Linked DNA regions of Xenopus tropicalis. The protein of the gene in region 2 binds, or shares a complex with, the protein of the main gene of each other region. Links are inferred from orthologs where the notes say so. Each region holds a gene or a part of one and is shown on either strand. Other genes may lie near its edges.

Region 1 (6,007 bases), about 40 Mb from region 2:
ATATTTATCAATGAGCGAAGTTAGAGCTTGCCACAGTCCACTATACCGAAATTACGTGTAGCCCACTTTATGCACGGTTGTGGCACTACCCGTTGGAGCACGATACTTTGGCGCTACAGGAGTCCTGAGCCCCCGCTTACTATGGGGGTTTACAAGGGATTCTCCCCTAAATGGCGTGCCTCCACCCAGGGATGGTCTTGTGGAACTATATTCCACCCCCTGGGAAACGATCAGGATACAATGCCCCTTTGGGACCCACGTACTCCCGGTGTGATGTACTCACTCTTTGAGTTATTCCTTACCGGCGTAGTAGTGGTCCTCTGGGCTAGGTAGATACTCACAGCAGACACAGTTGTATATGAAAGGAATGCTATGGTTTATTCAGGCAGAGACCTCTCCAGGAGCGGCATATCATTTATACACACGGCAGGGCATATCTCCTTACTTCTCATTGAGATCCTTTTCCTGTTGGTACTACCTCACGGGTTTCCCCAATGTGCTCCTATCTAGGTGCTATCCCCGGTACTATCTGTGAGACCCTCCCTTTGGAGTTCTCAGTACCCATGCTAGGAGTTACACCACAAGGACCCACACCGGTACTAGCGTATGGCACCCTCAGATCCGGACTCCTGGACTAGCGGGGACTTGTCCACCTACCTAGCCACTTAATGCCCTGCACTCCAGCAGATGTAATGCTGGGGGGTCTTAACCCCACTACCACTCCTGGAGGGGCAATATCCGCCCATTCTAGCTTGGTGTCCTACATGACACTCCTAGAATGTCCTATTACAAGAAACTACTATCTAATAACTCTATCAGGGGAAGCTCCTGGTCCCAGGAGCTATCCCAGCCTAAAGTGGCTCAAGATGGCTGCTACCCTTTTTATGGGCCTATGCACCACCCGGTGGCCATAACCCGAACTACAGGTATACTCCCTGTTAACTATGTAGAACCCAGTCATCCCAGTGTCCCTGCTAACTAACACCAACCAGTGGCCTAGTCTAGGGGTGTCTGTCCTAAGGGCCCATTTTTGATAAACCCCTACATACGCTTCTATCCATTGATTTTTAAAAGCATATTTATCAATTAGTGAGTGTAAAAGTTCACCCTTTTAAAAAAATAATAGTAGAATTTCACTCTAGCAAGTTTCTCACTCTAATAAATCTACCCCTCAGGCACAATGCACTGACATAGCTGCCTACACAGAATAACATTTTCCTGGCCATCCCCTGGCAGCATAACATTTGGTAGAGGATAAACCCAAATGTTATGCTGCCAGGGAGGAAGGCCAGGAAAAGAAAATCTCGGTAAGTATGAATTGATTTTCTCCTTTAAATGGTAGAGCAAGTTAAGTAAACACTGAAATCTAGAAATAAACAGTTCACCATAAAAATCATAATATCCCTTTAAGTAAAATAGATAGAAATGTAGAATGAAATCACCATAACAAGACCAAGTAGAACTCGGTTCTAAAATACTGCCTCAGAGTATTGGACTCCTCTGAACACGCTAGTTTTTCTGTTCCTCAGCTACAACTTCCTCCATTTTGTTTCGGTAAAGTTTGGCGCCAGGCATTGCCCTCCCACCTATGAAAGGGAAAAAGCTGCCATTACTCCCAGCCACTCAGCAGGCTTCGAAATCTCTTACGTAAGGCGTGCACTGCTGGATTGGCCGTAGATACAGGAGAAGGGCGGTCCCTAGAAACGGTATCAACCAATAGGGAAATAGCTGAGGCGGAACAGATCGTCGCTGTTACAGAGGTTTGGCGCGAAAAAAAGATTTCGCGCGTTCTTGTGAAATAGGTGCATTGGCGGCCGCAGCTCTCGCCTTTTGTGCTTGGTACCCTTTTCTTCGTTACAATGTCGGGATTTGACGATCTTGGAATCTACTACAGCGATAGTTTTGGCGGAGAGCAGCCGGTGGGTGACGACGGACAAGCCAAGAAATCACAACTTAAGAAGCGGTTCAGAGAGTTCCTCAGGCAGTACCGTGTAGGGACCGATCGCACCGGCTTCACCTTCAAATACAGGTCTGGGACACTTTGTTGTAACGATTTACAAGTTTGATTTTGTTAGGTGTAATCCTAAACGAAGGGATCTGATTAATTCAGAGGTTACTAATGGGCTTGAGCATGACCCGAACATATATACGAGCGCATGTGTCATTAAGTGCCATGTAAAGGGGACTTTTACATTGTATATTCATCTACATACATGTGAAATGTCATACCCATCACTTGTGTCAGTGCTGTTCTGTAATTACTTCCGATCCACTACTGTCCTTCCATCCTAGACATAGATCCATGGTTACATTAATGGTACAGAGATACCCATAATGCACAGTGGCTGTGATAAGAGGAGGTGTTAAAAAAAATCAGATGGCAAAGCATGTAAAACTGAGTTAAAACACAGCTAACTGGAGCTCTGTATTCATATCTGAAAACTTTTTCCCAAGTCTGTTATAGGAAAGCCATAAAAAATGGTAGAGAATTTTCAATAAGTTTATTTTGTCAATTTATTTTTTGGACTAAATATCACAAAGAACTAGGATTTTTGTCTTTATATTCCTCTTTAAGGTGTTGCAGGTGCTTAAGTCAATGTCAAAATCGGGACTGACCATAGTTTTACAGATTTGTAGTTTACAACCCTCAGTATCTGTGACAGGGCCAAATAACATACATTCAACAACATATTTTATTTACAGAGATGAACTCAAGCGTCACTATAATCTGGGAGAATACTGGATAGAGGTGGAAATGGAGGACCTGGCCAGCTTTGATGAGGACCTTGCAGATTATTTGTACAAACAGCCAACTGAACATCTGCAGCTGGTAAGTAGCTTTTAGTACCAATGTGTTCAGTCTGCCAGTTATTTGCCAGTACTGTGAGTATTAAGGTCTTTACATCTGGGATGTAGAGTATATGTATAATATAGCAAGATATGTCACAGTCAGTGTGTGATTTTATATATTTTTATGATTTTACTCATTGTTTAACTCAATTTACAGCTGGAAGAGGCAGCCCAGGAAGTTGCAGATGAGGTGACTCGCCCACGACCTGCAGGTGAAGAAACTATACAGGAAATCCAAGTTATGTTGCGGTCTGATGCCAACCCTGCTAATATTCGAAGCCTGAAGGTGAGAAATTCTATGGTTGATGGTCTCTTGAAATTTGCATTGTCACATGGCTACGTAAACATATAATTACAATACCTGTGTTTTTTTTGTTTTTTTTTATAAATGACATTTGTTAATATTTTCATTTCAAAGTGGTGGTAATGTCAGATTTTCATCAAAGTATGCTTAAATATCTAGACTTAAATATTATGCCCTGCTTAGTCAGTGGTGCAGCTTGTTCCACTGAAGTCACAACATACTGCCATTAATATTACTTAGGGTTATTTAATCCCTGTGCCACTTTATTAACCATTGCATATTCTCACCCAATGTTATATTGCAGTCCGAGCAAATGTCTCATCTTGTCAAAATTCCCGGCATTATCATTGCTGCCACCGCTGTGAGAGCCAAGGCTACGAAGATCTCAATCCAGTGTCGTAGCTGCCGAAACACAATTGGCAACATAGCTGTGCGTCCTGGTCTAGAGGGATATGCTATGCCACGTAAATGCAACACGTATGTGTAATTGAAGTTCTGTGGAACATGAATGTCTTTTGATGTTACTTGGACCCTTGTGATTGTGTAATATAAAGTTTTCTTCCAATGGAAGCAACTTGTCAAACTTCTTAAGCCTTTTTATACTTCGTACTATTCTTAGTGAAGTGGAGTGTATTTCCATTATCTGTTAACAGTTGATATGGGGGGAAGGTCTAGGAGCCATAGTTCACCACTGGATGGAATTGGCTGTTAGCTGTGGTAAAATTGATTAGTCAGCACAACATTTACCTTTTAGATTCTTTTAACTTTTGCTGTTACTCTTCACAGGGAACAGGCTGGCCGTCCAAAGTGCCCATTGGACCCATACTTTATTATACCTGACAAGTGCAAATGTGTAGATTTTCAAACTCTGAAGCTTCAGGAGTCTCCAGATGCTGTACCTCATGGAGAGCTTCCAAGACACATGCAGTTGTATTGTGACAGGTATGTTTAAAATTAAATATATTTGTAATGAAACAGATATTGCTAGATTAGAGAAATGCAGTATGTTCTATGTATAGGTTTGCAAATAATTGGTCCTTTTCATCTATATTTCTTTTGGGATGTAGACAGAGGCTTTTTTTCTGATCACTGTCAATTTGATGCTTAGCTGCAGAGTTAATGTTGCTACAGGAGACTCTTCCATACAGTGTCTTGTGGTTAAGACATTTAAAGTGCACTGTAACCTCGGCTTAAATTAACCCCATTTAAAATGCATTTATTTTCGAGTCTGCCTTTTTATATCTAATGCTATTAGCTTTGGTGTAAATTATTGTGATACCACATTAAACATTTAAATTTCCTAATGTCTATTTAAGGTACTTGTGTGATAAGGTTGTTCCTGGAAACAGAGTGACAATCATGGGTATTTACTCAATCCGGAAGAGTGGAAAGACCTCAACAAAGGGCCGGGATCGAGTGGGAGTTGGGATCCGCAGTTCCTATATAAGGGTAGTGGGCATCCAAGTGGATACAGAAGGAACAGGTGAGAGGTGGCAATATGCAAAAGTGCAGCTATGTTTAAAGGGACAGTAACACATTCCAGTTGAACTTTCCATTCCATTCCAGTTGAACACAATTCCTATATAATCCCGAGTGTTAATAATATTTTCTAAAGGGGGTGCCCACTGCCTCCCCCAAGCACAACACATACACTTACTCAACACTTATAGCTGTCAGATGTGTGATATGCATTTATTGCTTACTCGTTGTTTAGGAAGAAGTGCAGCAGGTGCTATAACGCCACAAGAGGAAGAGGAGTTTAGGCGCCTATCTGCAAAGCCTGATATCTATGAGACTGTTGCTAAAAGTATTGCCCCCTCCATTTATGGCAGTAGTGACATCAAGAAAGCCATTGCTTGCCTGCTGTTTGGAGGCTCCCGCAAGAGGTAAAACTTCTGTCAACTGTAAACTAAAACAGTGATATCCCCTTATAGGCAAATGGCCCATAGCTATTTTAACCACCATGGTCCCCTCTGAGTAAGAACTGTGATAGTGAAACAAAAATTGACATGGTTTATAGCTGCTTTTTAGGTGCATGATGGAGAATTGTGCTGCTTTTGGCAGGTACTGAAGCTGTCAGGGATTACTTAAATGCAGAATTGTCCTTTAGACTGCAATGAGCTTGTGTACTGTAGATCAGGGTCTACTGTTGGCAGTCTTGCACATAGCTCTTGGCTTTCCCATTTTCCTTGAATTGTTTTGAACACAAGTAATAGTGTTAGGGCTCATACTCTCAAACATCTGTTCCTGCATTCCTCTGCATTGGATCCTTCCTGCTTTCCACCACAGGGAAATGCAGGAACAGATGCAGACCATTCTTCCCTATCATTTGCTCACACAGGCGCATGTAAGCACTGAACACAGGTGGAGCACAACATGTTGCTTGTCAGTAGGAGTCCTTAGTGCACCAAAAACTCAGTATGGCTATACAGTTTAGTACTTGCTTATACATGCAAAAACAGAAGGAACAGTGAGCATTGGCTCAATATAGATTTGTTTTATGATATCTGAACATAGATGGAATATGCATTTTTTTTCTTTTCAACCACTACATGGTTTGCCAAAACAGGCATAGGTTCCTATGCATTTTGGTGTATCTATGAGTGTGTCATTTCTACTAAATGTATTGCACTGAAAGTTAACATTTATATTTTCCTTTTAGGCTTCCAGATGGATTGACCAGAAGAGGTGATGTTAATCTGCTGATGCTTGGGGATCCTGGCACAGCTAAATCACAGCTGCTAAAGTTTGTGGAACGTTGCTCTCCTATAGGGGTATGAATATGGTTTATTTTATTATGCATGTCTCCCCTTTGCTTTTTCTTACTTTTATCCTTGTAATGTGTGATATTAG
Region 2 (6,024 bases):
TTACCTCTTACCTAACCTTTACCCATCTAATGTATGTATGTATGTATGTATATCTTTATTTATAAAGCGCTACTTATGTACGCAGCGCTGTACAGTAGAATACATTAATACAAACAGGGTGTTAATAAGATAATAGATAAATACAAAGTATAATAATAAATACAGATAAATACAGCAGCAATAAGGTAAGAGTCGAGGACACAAGAGGAAGGAGGTCCCTGCCCCGTAGAGCTTACAATCTATATGGGAGGGGTAACTAACAGACACAAATAGGCAAATATAAGTGCTAATAGGCAAATATAAGTGCTAAGTAACTATATTCATTCTAGCTAGACCCATGCTCCGACTTCTTTAAAGGTCTTTATTTAAATAGTGTGAATTTTTTAATAACTTTATTAATGATGTGAATTTCCAGGAAGTCAAAACTCCTAAAGTCTGGGTCCTGAATTGAACGGCTTTGCACTGAAGGGCACTTTCATGTTGCTTTGAATAGTACTGTGCTACCTAAGGAAGAAAATATTTTCATGCTGCAGCTAAATTTTAACATAAACTTGAAATAATTACCACAATGCAATAATTACCTGCAATATTGTCTTTGCAATTTCTGGGTTTTCTGGACTGTCAAAGTTGAGAAGTTGGGAGCCAAAGCCATAATAATGAGGTCCCATCTTGTGCAGGTCCACGACATTGGCATCAGCACTGAAAACAGTTCGCCAGCCTTCTCGGTAAATCTTTGGTAGCTCTACCGAAAGTACACGCCGTTTGTTGTCATAAAGACCTTTCGCCAGCCATAATGGAAGTTCCATTTTGCTACCCTAACAAAAAAGGAATTATTACAGTAATTAAGTTCAGTGGTCATTATGTATAACACCTGCTTGGATACAAAAGATGAAAACTGGTATTTTAAGCAAGGGAGGCTTAATATTTCATTATGTAGTACTGAATAAGGCAATTACATGGTAGGGTACACACTTCAAGCTTCAAGAGAAAATTAAAAACCAATTTTGCACACACTGAAGGAAAAATGTCTGCATTTTAGTGAAAAGAGACACGTTGCATTACACGGTTTGTACAAAGTATGCATAAGCTGACGCGCCCGTCAAGGCAGTGTCCTTGCGTCAGTCCTAACCTAGCGAAAAAGAGAGTATATTTTCTTTGGTGGAAGAAAGACCATACCTGCTTTTCTCTTTATATGGCATGACCTATTCCAAAGAAACCATTCCGCAATTAAGCTTATAAACACCTTCTTGCAAAAAAAAAAAAAACTGCAAGGCTATCCTTAAAGGGGCGAGGTTGGGAGAGCAAGCATTCAATTAGGGAATAGCCACTTCCCCTTACCACACAAATATATACAAAAAAATACAGCTCATCCCATGAATCAATCCAAACTAATTGGGTGCACACAGGTGAGTGGCTTGTATTATATACTATACACATTACCCAGGCACTCCATTATATAGCTTTGGTTTAGTTTTTAATTTTCTCTTGAAGCTATATAATGGAGTGCTGGAGTAATGTATATAGTATATAATATAAGCCAAGCCACTCACCTATGTGCCCCCAATTGGTTTTGATTGATTCATGGGATGAGTTGCATTTTTATAATATATATATATATATATATACATACATATACACATAAAGATAATTAGATAGATAGAGGTGCCATTTGCAATACTTTACTAGTACCAAAATGTTTCCATTACTTCATTACTTCAGATCAAATATTCTAATGATGTTCTTGAATGTGATTCACTTGTAAATGACAATTTTTTACACCAATGTCAAATCTAAATATACTATTTAACAGACTTTTCCTCATATCCTTCTGGTCTATGTACAGCCTGTTATGCACAACTGTGCTGGACCAATCTGTTCTCATTTATAAAACAACAACATTTTTAATTAACGTATAATGATATGTTGCTTTCAATTACATTTTCTTTGACATTTTTCCCTGTCCATTACGGAAATGGCAAACAAGGAGTTTTGTTACCCGTGGGTAACAATGTGGGGATCATGGCATGTAAATCACTTGAAAAGTTCAGGCATAAAAAAAAGCTGTATCACCGCATATAAACTATTTCAAGTGAAGGGAAAGGTAATTTCAGCAGATTTGTCATTTGTATGTAGCACAGATTCCCCACAGGCAACAAACCTTGTGTGCCAGTGCCCCTAAGGGGAAAAATAAGCATACATTAACTGGGTGCAAGCTATCCTTTTCGTTCTTTCTTTGCACAGCTTGCACTTATGCAGTAGAGTGAAAAGCTAAACTTTAACAAAAAAATGTTGCTTTTTCACTGTACTGCACATGTATTGGTCCCAGGATCGAGAAGAAAGAAGACAGGAGGAAGAGGATCGCTCGCAGTTACCCTGGCCCAGTTCTGCTTACAGGATTACTGGCCTGGGGTATCAGATAGTGATTACAGTCACTGGGGGTGCCTAGTATTTTGGCAACTCCCAGTAATTGTACCTTTACTACATCATAACCCCTTCTGGCTTCTTGTACTGGGTGCCCCAGACCAATTAGAAATTACCCAAATGTCCAATAGTTCTTAAGCCAAGAAACACTATTTAGAGCATTTTTTGGCTACAGAGTACCTTTACTGACACTGTCATGTCTACGGGAGGCAATAATTTGAAGTTATTTTTAGCCAGACAAAAAGTGCACCATGTACCAACAGCACTAAGACTGATGGCAAACCAGTTTACCCAGTCAGTGGAGAAACACTTGTCCATGCCACCTGCCTGTCACAGAACGTACAGGAGGATTTCAACCCATGGCCCAAGGTAAACCATTCTAAAACTGCATGCACTCAGTTGGAACACTCACTTCTCAGTTCTTGTGTTTTTCTGGAAGCACGGTCTCTTGTCTCCGCTTTAGCACAATAATTCCCCCCAGGCACACAGCATCTGTACTTAGTTTGCCGAAATGTGAGAATGAACTTTATTGGCCTACATAGAGTCCTAACCCAACTGAACACCTGAGGTTAACTGCAGGACAGTCTGTAACCCGGGGCTCCCCAACCTGTTTTTACCCATGAGCCACAGTCAAATGTAGTAACAGCTGGGGAGCATCCCTGGGGTACCGAATAAGAGCTGTGATTGGCTATTTGGTAGCCCCAATGTAGATTGGTAGCCTACAGGAGACTCTTCTGGCAGTAAACCTGGTTTTTGTGCAACCAAATCTTGCTTCCAATTTAAAAAAAGCACCTGCTTAAGGCCACTGGGAGCAACATCCAAGGGGTTGGCGAGTGACATGTTGCTCATGAGCCTCTGGCTGGGGATCACTGCTGTAAGCCATGCCTGTTTGCCCAGCATCAGTGCCCAAGCTCATTAATGCTGTTGTGGCTACACAGAACTTGACTATAATAGAACTGCTAAAGTAAACTCATTTTCAAAGGCAACACATTAAAACGCCCAGTGTTAATCCAATGGAATGAAAGGTAAATTTGCAGGAGCACAATGATGGATTGCCCATATGAATCCATGACCACCCAGAAAAGCTACATTTATTATTGCATCACCCAAAGTCACCTCAGGGATGCTGTCGCTGTCACCACCTTTCTCTAGGAAGCCGAGCCGAGGGAAGCCGCTCTCTACACGGCAAGGTAATTTTTCCTGTGACATTAACAAATCTTCTATGGAAAGGAAATTCTCCTCCCTGCCCAAGCCGGGCTCAACTGGCATGTAGGGTTCCCACATTATGAATGATATCCTCTTCTACCAATCTGCAAAGGGAACCAGCTAGCGAAAATGGCTGCAGCACCACAAATTGAATGAATCTCCCGCGTTGCTGCGGTCCTGCCCACTACCGCGTCTCAAGCCTCGTTTTCATAGTGTCATGTATTCTGCTGTAGTCTGAACTATCGTGAAATCTTGTGGTTGTTTGGTTTTGATTCAATTAGTGTTTGTTTTCGGCTTGGTAATCTGATTAATAACATCATTGTTTAAGTTGTGTAATACAATATTATTTTAGCCTTATAATATTCCTTAGTTTGGAGGAATGAGTTTGCAATTGCAGTCGTCTGAGCCTTGCTAGTACTACGATGATGCAGCAGTGAGTGTTAAGGAGTGATCATTTCCTTAACCAGGACTGCGTTTGAGATCATAATTCTATCTCCTGTGGAGCTGAGAGACACAGCTTTAATTAGGGTTGCTACCGTTTATGGAAAAACATACAGGCTTTCCTATATAACAATGGCTCAAAGCCACATTTTTACCTGCTAGTCCGTATAATAGAGGTTGTCAGACTTTTTCAGTTTAAGCCCGAGTTGGAGGTTCAACCTTTTTCTCTGCATAGCCCCGATAATATCTTAGACAGCAAATACGTTGTTACCTTGAATCGGCAAAATAAACGTTCACCCCATGCCTCATCTTAATTGGCCTTCAGGGTCTGCCCACCACTGCCTCAAGCCACCCCAGAAGGGCCAGCTGCACAATTGTTGAAACCTTTGGTATACATGAATCTTCACAAATGATAAGGACATTGTCACGATCACGCCACTCTTAGACGCACGTGACACTGGGATGAGGAAACGGGGTTACACTCAGTAAGGTTACCTAAGGTTAGACTAACATCAGACACCCCCAAACACACCACCGCCCCAAATAAATATTCAGTGCTCTCTACAACAGGTACTATTTCCCAATACACAACTGTATCACACACTCTCACTGTAGTTAGGGTTAGTGTCTACTAATTCAACAAGCACTCTAGCAGCCAAAAGGTTAAATTACAGTCAAACATACTCTCCTGCTAGCAGTCAACTAGTTAATTAGCCTATACACAGACAACTTTCCTTCTACACACAGACAAGCTGTTAATACAGTTAGCCCCAAGCGTTCATACAAGCTACGTGAAATCTTTTTAGAGCAACCGGACAAAACTTATTAAATTTTATATTTAATATTACAAGAGTAAACAGTACATATTAAAAGATATTACAAAAAGAGACATACACGTAAAATTGCAAACAGTAAATAAAATAAAAGGGAATAAAACACAGAAACCCTATTTACTTTACCAAGTTAGGAATTTCCTTTGTGTCCTCCTGAGGCAAGAGTTTGGAAACCTGAGCCCACACCCCAACAGAATTGGGACCTCAGGTATGAGCTGTTAGTAACTGGGTCTTTTGCCCTTTTATCCCCTGCTTGGACCCTTCCTCATTACCGCATGCATGAGGGGGGAGTGCCCAGGAACTTATCACTTATGACCTCCTGTAGAGGACTGCAATTCTCAGGCCAGTTTCTTGTCATATAATATTGGCACTTGACAGTATCCAATATTATTATGAAAATATGGGCTTGCTTTAACCCATATGTGGGTGATCAGAAGGATACCAAACATGAAAACTATCCCCCCTAACTGGTGGGTATTGGCTGGCCTTGTTTGGTATTTTTAGAAAGCATGTGACCTTATAACCAATATGTGATTTATGAGGATGTGAACCCTAAAGCAAAGGAGATATGGATCCCTTTTTATAATCCATATTTTCTCTTAGCTGTTCCCCCAGCATTTCTTATGTCCACAATTCACTTTCTTTGATCAATAGATCAAAGAAACCAATTGCCCCAACTTCACTGCCCAAATGGTCTGGCTCCGAACTGTCTTCTAACCCAGATAAGGGTATCACCTTCCCACAGTCCCTTGTTGCAGGTTTAATTAAGGGTCTCTGTGTGGACCCAAGGCCAAATGTTGCCAGGTTTAACCCGGGACATGCCAGAGAATTACTTCTCCGGCATGACAGACATACTGCTCTGATCAAAATAATGAAAAGAGTGCAAGCCCTGTGGACTCCTTGTTTTCCTGCTGCAACAGACTTTAGTGAGTAGCATAAAAACGGAGGAAAGGGGGTGTGACTGCACACTTGCCCACCTCTGTGGCACAATCTTTTAGCTAAGGAGGATAGTGGTTGTGAGTGTGTGTGCAGGCGCGGGTGCAAGTTTTGTTGTGGGACTATAGTTAAACCAATGGCCATAGTTTCACAGCACCTCTACCTCCAGTATATGGCATAAACTACA

The links. The genes of interacting proteins can lie anywhere in the genome.
Region 1: gins3 (region 2) and mcm5 share a complex: the UniProt entries of both Homo sapiens proteins name them as parts of the CMG helicase complex. The link is inferred for Xenopus tropicalis from reciprocal best matches to the Homo sapiens genes GINS3 and MCM5.

What each region holds. Positions count from the first base shown.
Region 1 is NC_030680.2:115,591,735-115,597,741, forward strand, and holds the start of mcm5 (DNA replication licensing factor mcm5), read left to right. Parts: upstream 1-1,844; 5' UTR 1,845-1,859; coding exon 1,860-2,029; intron 2,030-2,703; coding exon 2,704-2,830; intron 2,831-3,007; coding exon 3,008-3,136; intron 3,137-3,458; coding exon 3,459-3,631; intron 3,632-3,940; coding exon 3,941-4,096; intron 4,097-4,470; coding exon 4,471-4,637; intron 4,638-4,868; coding exon 4,869-5,040; intron 5,041-5,816; coding exon 5,817-5,928; intron 5,929-6,007. UniProt on the Homo sapiens protein: Acts as a component of the MCM2-7 complex (MCM complex) which is the replicative helicase essential for 'once per cell cycle' DNA replication initiation and elongation in eukaryotic cells.
Region 2 is NC_030680.2:75,817,112-75,823,135, reverse strand, and holds the start of gins3 (DNA replication complex GINS protein PSF3), read right to left. Parts: upstream 3,710-6,024; 5' UTR 3,706-3,709; coding exon 3,538-3,705; intron 816-3,537; coding exon 582-815; intron 1-581. UniProt on the Homo sapiens protein: Required for correct functioning of the GINS complex, a complex that plays an essential role in the initiation of DNA replication, and progression of DNA replication forks.